Canis lupus familiaris: one gene and its partner. The protein of the gene in region 1 interacts with the protein of each later gene in a pairwise test. Links are inferred from orthologs where the notes say so. Each region holds a gene or a part of one and is shown on either strand. Other genes may lie near its edges. The genes, in order: SRF and ELK4.

What was found.
Region 2: the proteins of SRF (region 1) and ELK4 interact in a two-hybrid assay, tested with the Homo sapiens proteins (2 studies listed by BioGRID and IntAct). The link is inferred for Canis lupus familiaris from reciprocal best matches to the Homo sapiens genes SRF and ELK4.

What each region holds. Positions count from the first base shown.
Region 1 is NC_049233.1:11,859,926-11,863,656, reverse strand, and holds the end of SRF (serum response factor), read right to left. Parts: coding exon 3,691-3,731; intron 3,403-3,690; coding exon 3,326-3,402; intron 3,099-3,325; coding exon 3,003-3,098; 3' UTR 691-3,002; downstream 1-690. UniProt on the Homo sapiens protein: SRF is a transcription factor that binds to the serum response element (SRE), a short sequence of dyad symmetry located 300 bp to the 5' of the site of transcription initiation of some genes (such as FOS).
Region 2 is NC_049259.1:2,662,155-2,665,968, reverse strand, and holds part of ELK4 (ETS domain-containing protein Elk-4), read left to right. Parts: coding exon 1-532; intron 533-1,872; coding exon 1,873-1,989; intron 1,990-3,814. UniProt on the Homo sapiens protein: Involved in both transcriptional activation and repression. Interaction with SIRT7 leads to recruitment and stabilization of SIRT7 at promoters, followed by deacetylation of histone H3 at 'Lys-18' (H3K18Ac) and subsequent transcription repression.

The DNA of each region.
Region 1 (3,731 bases):
GCTCCCTCGCTGGGAGCCAGCGGCCGGTCCCGCCGTCCTGGCCCCGCCTCCTCAGCAGCTCCCTTCCGGGTCACACGGCACGGGCGGGCGCGGCCCGGCTCCTACGGGGGCCCCCGCGGCCCACAGCCGAGCGAGGCGGAAGGGCGCGCGGGTGGAGCATGCGCAGTGGCCGCGGCGCTGCGCGCGGGGCGCGCGGCAGGCGGAGCCCGCGCTCACGGTCACGTCGCTCCTTGCCGCAGAAGTACGCAGCCCTTTCCCTCCATCACCTGGAAGGCCCGCTCGCGTTTCCTGGGTCGGCCTGCCCGGTCCCCCTGAAACCTACACTTCCAACCCCGAAGCTGTCCTGAGTTCTCACCGGGTCACGTGGCCATGAGTTTCCCAAACCCTACAGCCGTGCTTTGGATTGGTGGAATCACTTTTCCTATTGATTAAAATTGCTCCTCTCTGTGTTGGCCTAGAAAGCTAACAAAGTCCTGCGCAAAGACAAAGGCCCCAGCTCCCAGAAATGTTCCTTCAATTAAGTTGCAGAGTTCCACAGCCCAGAGTGCCCCTTGGCCTTGCCATTGTTCTCATCAGGCGGCCAGGTTTGCTTCTCAGAGCAGCGGCTGGAGGTTGGTTCGCGTTCATACTTCCCTCCCTCCCTCCCTCCCTCCCTCTCTATGCGGAAAAACGGAGGCAAAGACTCCACAGTCTGTGCACAAAAATGATACATTTATTGAAAGAGTATTTTTTTTTAATACAAAAGAAAGCTCTGTACATAGGACTGTGACCATGTCCACTATTCCTGGGTCAGCATCCCAGGGGAAGTAGAAACCACTGACATACTCCATTCACACACACACACTCAGGCACACGCACGCGCGCACACACACACACGCACACACACACTCCAGAGCCACCAAGAAAGGGAAATACCAAGGGTTGCTGCACATATAAATGCCACCTCATCCCTGACGCACACATGTTCTCCCAAGGCCACGCTCACACAACACACATTATAAGCACTTTGCCTGATTCACTCACTGGGTCTGTCTTTTGTGGGAAAGAGAGGAGGAATTCATCAGTCTCCTCCCCTGGGTGGGGGAGTGGAGAGTGAGTGAGTGATGGTGGAGTGAAACAAGAGCAGAGAAAGGGGGCTGGGCAGTTACAGACCTGAGTCCCAAGCTCCCCACTCTCTGGCCCCTGATTTGCCATGCCCCAGCCTTGTAAGCCACCCATAACCCCCAGCTATCTCCAGGAGAAAGCCCAGAACGGTGACTTCCATCTCGGCACCCCAAATCGGGGCAAGACAGCAATGGGGGTTAGAGGTTATGGGGGTTCTCAGACACATCGGCAAATCATCCCCTTGATAACTAGGCTGTGCGCACAAACTTCCCCCACCCCTTCACCTAATCACAGAAGCAGGATTGTTCCTCCTGAAGGCAGTCACAGGGGTTAATAAAACTCTACCCCAACTGCTGCCCTGTTCTGAAAAAGCTCCCTTTCTGGATAAAGGGGGTGAAGGTAGGCTCTGACACGGGGTAAAAGACCCTCCCCCTATGCTGGCCCATCCTCAAGGTCTACCCCAAAGGGGGCAGAGTGGGGTAGGGCACGGCCCCTGTACAAATTACATAAATACTGAGGTTACACTTAGAAAAATAAAGTCATTTTCTTCAAGGCTTTTTGTCTTAATTTAAAAAAGTTACAGTAGCTGCTCACTCCCTGGGAGAGCTGCCCATTTCTGGCTCCCCTATCTTTATATTCAGCCCAAGAGCTGCTCCCGTTTCTTCTGACCCCCATTCCTGCCTCTCAACCCCTCCCAGACCCCACCCTGCTCACTGCAACTTGGGCCCCAGGCGGCTGCAGGCCTGGGGGAGCACAAGGCTGCAATGCCCATGCGTGTGGCACAAATGAAGTCAGTTGCCTCTACCTGACACCCTCCCACCCCCACCCCCACATTTGGTCTCCCTCTTCCCTCTCCCTTGCGACAGCCCTAGAGGGCAAAAAGAGACCCAGGGCTGCAGGTCACCCTGCCCACCCCGTTGGGGCATGGCCTGAGGGCCCCTCCCCCGGTTTTCTCCTGGCAACAACCCAGGACCGGGCAGTCCCAGAATCTCCCCTACACACTGGCGGGGCCCCGAGCTCATGGGGTGGTTCCGTCCCCAGAGGCCCAGTCAGTTCCGGGGAGCCCCAGGGCTCCCCAGGGAAGGGGAGCTTGGGCAGGGAGGGGGACGAGAAACACGCCATAAAAAAAAGTTTAAATATTTTAAAAATATATATTTATAGATTTGTTTTCACTTCGTCTCCTCAAATAAAAAGTTCAAAATCAACTTTTAAGTAAAGCAGCTGGGGGGAGAGGGGGAAGACAGGGTGAGAGGGAACACTGGCAGTTCCCTCCGACCCAGGAGTTCCTGGAGTCCCAAGGGGACCGGCAGGGCAGGGCAGGTGGCCCCAGGAACCTGCTCTGTGCACAGGCCCAGCTCTCAGGAGCTACAGGGACAATAGGGCATCCTGTGAGGGAAGAAGCCCCATCTCCCCAGGTGGCTCCCTGAGGGGCACGGATAGGGCTCTTGTCACCCAGCCTGTGACAGACACGGTGCTGACAGCAGGTCAGCAAGGAGGCTGGGAGAGGACCCCCACTGCTTCCTCGGGGGAACACGGTGCCTAGTCCCACAGAGGCCTGTGTGTGGGAAGGTGGGGCACGGTCCCATTGGATAAGCTAATACTCATGGCAAACATGGAGCCAAGCTGGCTAGGGGAGTCTGAGGAGGGAGGACAGCCCCACCATCAACAGAAAATGGGAGGTGGAGCCAGAAGGAGGGGAGGGGGAGGGAGGATGGGGTGGAGGGCAGGCTGGCCCATTTCTTTGGCTGGAGTGAGAGGGCTCAGTCCTGTGGCTGCCCACTCCTCCTCCCTGCCTCCCTCCTGCGGCCCGTCAACGTGTGTGTAAAGAAAACGTGAAAAGGCAACAATAAATAAGTGGTGCCATCCCTTGGGCCATCTGTCCAGGGTGGCAGGGCGGATCAGTCACTCTTGGTGCTGTGGGCGGCGTCCAGGTTCACCACCTGTAACTCGGTGAGGTTGCTGCTGCTCCCAGCCTGCTGCCCTATCACAGCCATCTGGAGGGAAGGGGGTGTGTAAGGAAAAGGAGGGCAGGAACTGACCAGCCAGCTCAAGCTTCCCCCTGCTGGCCTGCCTGTCCACCACGAGCCTGACTGGGAAAACAGATGGGCCTCCTGGCTTAGGGAATCTTGGCTTAGACCAATGGGTAAATGAAATCCCCAAAGTCAAGAGAAGGAAATGGCTGGGTTGGCTGAGGTGAGGTGAAGGGTGCCCCCACACCTACCTGGTGAAGCTGAACTGCAGAAACAGGGATCTGCACTGTCCCAGATGGTGCTGTCAGGAACACCTGGGGAACACCACCTGCATTGGGAAACCACAGGAGATACTCAAACTGCTTGCTCAAGAGAAACTTCCAGATACTAGTTGGAATGGAATGCATGAGTATCCTAGTGGACAGCAATGGGTGTGGGAATGTGTGTGCAAGCATCCGTGTGTGTGTGTGTGTGTGTAGTTTTATGTGTGGGCATCCTTGTTTGGGTATGGGTATATGAGTGTATATATCTATGTGTGTATGTGGGGGGCCATTTGGATATGTGGGTATGTGAGGGAGGAGGACATGGTCCCCCTTAGCCCCAGCCCACCACTCACCTTGCTCCTGGACCTGGCTGTGGGACACCTGCATGGTGGAC
Region 2 (3,814 bases), on another chromosome or scaffold:
GCCAACTCCGTCTGTCATCAGATTCGTAACGACCCCTTCCAAAAAGCTGCCGGGTGAACCTCTTGCTGCCGCCACGTCCCTCGGCCCCAGCATCTCTCCATCTTCAGAAGAAACCCTCCAGGCATTGGAGACTTTGGCTTCCCCCAAACTGCCTTCCCTGGAAGCCCCGGCCTCTGCAGCCAGTGTCACCGCCGCGTTCGCCGCCCCCCCCATTTCCTCCGCTTCCCCCTCTGTGCCGGAGCCCCCCAGGACCCCCACGCCGCCGCTGAGTCCTAATCCCGAGGTTGACACGGACATCGATTCCGTGGCTTCGCAGCCCATGGAGCTTCCAGAGAATTTGTCACTAGAGCCTAAAGACCAGGATGCGGCCTTGCTGGAAAAGGACAAAACAAGCAATTCTTCAAGATCCAAGAAACCCAAAGGGTTAGAGCTGGCGCCCATCCTCGTGATCACCGGTAGTGACCCAAGTCCACTGGGAATACTGAGCCCCTCTCTCCCCACAGCTTCTCTTACACCAGCGCTTTTCTCACAGGTAACTGACTCTTTCTTTTTAGTGCCACCGATGTTTGCATTGACTCACCTTTTAAAACATGCAGAATTTATAACCTCACGTTCTCATGCTGTTACCTGGGTCTGTCTTAGAAAAGTGGGCTGTGACCCAGTTCCCTGCGTAATCAGTGAGAGGTTTGGAGTAGCATCGTAGAAGAATCTGTTGTCTCTACAAGCAAATAAATATTTTTCAACTTCCTCCTAAAGCCAACTATTCTCTCTCTCTTTTTGGTCTTATAAAACTCAATGGTATCTTATAAAAAAATAGTGATAACATCAAAAGCTAGAAAACAATCCCAAGAACCTAAGAAAACCTCCTGGTGTGATGTTGAGTAACAAGTTTGTAGAGTTATATTAGTTATTTCTTAACTTACTCATCTCCTATAATATTTATTTATTTATTTATATAAGAGAGGGGGAGAAGGGGTGGGAAGGGAATCTTTTTTTTTTTTTTTTAAGATTTTATTTATTTGACAGAGAGAGAGCAAAAGCAGAGGGAGCAGCAGGCAGAGGAAGAGGGAGAAGCGGGTTCCCTGCTAAGCAGAGAGCCTGATGCAAGCAGAGAGCCTGATGCAGGGGATGCAGGGCTTGATTCCAGGCCCCCCCAGGATCATGACCCAAGTTGAAGGCAGGCGCTTAACTGACTGAGCCAACTAAGGTGTGCACTCCCTTTTTAAAAAGTGAGCAGAGTCCAAAGTGCTGAGCACAGAGTCCAGCATGGAGCTCGATCCCAGGACCCTGAGGTCATGACCTGAGCTGAAATCAAGAGTCGGATGCTTAATTGACTGAGCCATGTAGGCTCTACCCGTAGCATTTTTTTTTTAAGACTTTATTTATTTATTCATGAGAGACCCAAAGAGGCAGAGACACAGGCAGAGGGAAAAGCAGGCTCCATGCAGGGAGCCTGATGTGGGACTCAGTGACCGGACTCCAGGGTCACGCCCTGAGCCGAAGGCAGACGCCCAGACGCTCAACCGCTGAGCCACTCAGGTGTTCCCCCTCACCCCAATAACATTTAAATAGACCTCCCATTACTAAGGAGAACTGTGTTTGTGAGTTAGTTACCAGTTCTTTCTCTGCCCTTGACCAGATTGGTTTCTCTATTTGGGAAAGACCCTACAAAACACAAATTAGAAATATTTTGCCATTTATATTTCTTAGGTTGTAAAAATAATTTCTGAACTTTTCTCATGATAAAATTTCAGAGATCCTTAGTGGAGAAGAGGACAGTATTTGGGTTTAAGGCTATTGATATATTATTATGAGGTTGAAATGTAAAACTGGCGAGTCACCTAGTGATCATTTTTGTTTTGCATATTGCAGACTCCCATCTTACTGACGCCGAGCCCCCTGCTATCCAGCATCCACTTCTGGAGTACTCTTAGCCCTGTTGCTCCCCTGAGTCCAGCCAGACTGCAAGGTGCTAACACACTTTTCCAGGTAAATCACCTCTAAGTTTGCCTCTTGTAGTTGGGGCCTGACACATGAAGAAAGAGGCCAAAAGGCAGTGTGTCTTCACTCTTTAGTCTAATCATTATAAAACTTGCGTTTAATAAATATGCTTTCCAAGGGTTAGTTGGTTAGTTTTCCAGTCAGCAGACGGTTCCAAAGATATTCACAGCAAGGCTTCCTTTCCCTTTTTTTTTTTTTTTAAGATTTTATTTATTCATGAGAAACAGAGAGAGAGAAAGAGAGAGAGGCAGAGACACAGGCAGAGGGAGAAGCAGGCTCCATTCAGGGAGCCCGATGTGAGACTCAATCCTGGGACCCCAGGATCATGCTCTGAGCCCAAGGCAGGTGCCAAACCACTGAGCCACCCAGGGATCCCGGCTTCCTTTTCATTCTTTACTGTTACATACATTTCAGTTAGACCAAGAATTGTTCAGTACTATAGTAGATTTTGAAACCACCTGATTTCTTTTTTTTTTTTTTTTAAATCTTTTTTTTTTTTTTTCTTCAATTTTTATTTATTTATGATAGTCACAGAGAGAGAGAGAGAGAGAGGCAGAGACACAGGCCGAGGGAGAAGCAGGCTCCATGCACCGGGAGCCCGATGTGGGATTCGATCCCGGGTCTCCAGGATCGCGCCCTGGGCCAAAGGCAGGCGCCAAACCGCTGCGCCACCCAGGGATCCCGAAACCACCTGATTTCTTTGTCATTTTAAATGCTAGAAATTCTTTTTCTTTTTTGAAAAAAAAAATACATATATGTGTGTGAAAATTTGTGCATATAAGTCTCTTTTATAAGTCTATTTTACATGAGGATTTTTGAAAATGAAAACTTTTGAGAATGGCATATCAAATACTCTGTTTCTCACTCATTTAGAATTAATGTTTATCAAGATTTTATTTACGTATTATTTATTTATTTATTTTTAAAGATTTTATTTATTTATTCATAGAGACACAGAGAGAGAGAGGGGCAGAGACACAGACAGAGGGAGAAGCAGGCTCCATGCAGGGAGCCCGACATGGGACTTGATCCTGGGTCCCCAGGATCACACCCTGGGCTGCAGGCGGCTCTAAACCGCTGCGCCACCAGGGCTGCCCTTATCAACATTTTAAATATGTATTTAAAAAAGGATATTGTATACCCTTTAACCGAGATCATAGGGAAGGTCTTACAGCTTTTAACCAGTGTTTTGGCCCAAGCATCTAGACTTTAGAACTTGTAGAGTTTGTTTTGTTGATTCATTCACTTACTGGTAGACTTCCTTATATCTTGCAATTTAACTTTTTATTTGTTCTTTTGGGAAAAAAAATGAAGGAAAAAATTAAAAATCTTTCTACTTCTACATTTTTTTTGCGAAAAGTTCTGAATTATTGAATAGTGTTGAGAATGTCTCATAGTTTATTTTTTACATTTTTCCTTGCTTCTCACAGATAATTGAGTTCTAGAGTGATCTGAGACCTTAAACTGCACAGTGCTCATGCAGTTTCAGCATGGACTCTCCCTATAGAATTGATCTTAGAACACATGATGGGGGTTCTGTTCTAGCAGAGCATTTATGCATCAGTTATAAATAGAGTTAATGAATGGGCATCTCTTTCTGGACCTCTTTTTGACAGTCTGTGATTTGCTTTGTAATTGAATTATACTCTGTAGTGCATGAACTTTCTAAACATTTGTGTGAAGTTAAACGTAAAGCTGTATACCTTAGGCTCTGAGGGAAGGTTTGGTTTGTTCTTTCCATCAAGGTAGGCCAGAGAGTTAATATTTAACATGTAGGACAGTTTTTTTCTTTAAAGTTTTTGTTGTGACATCA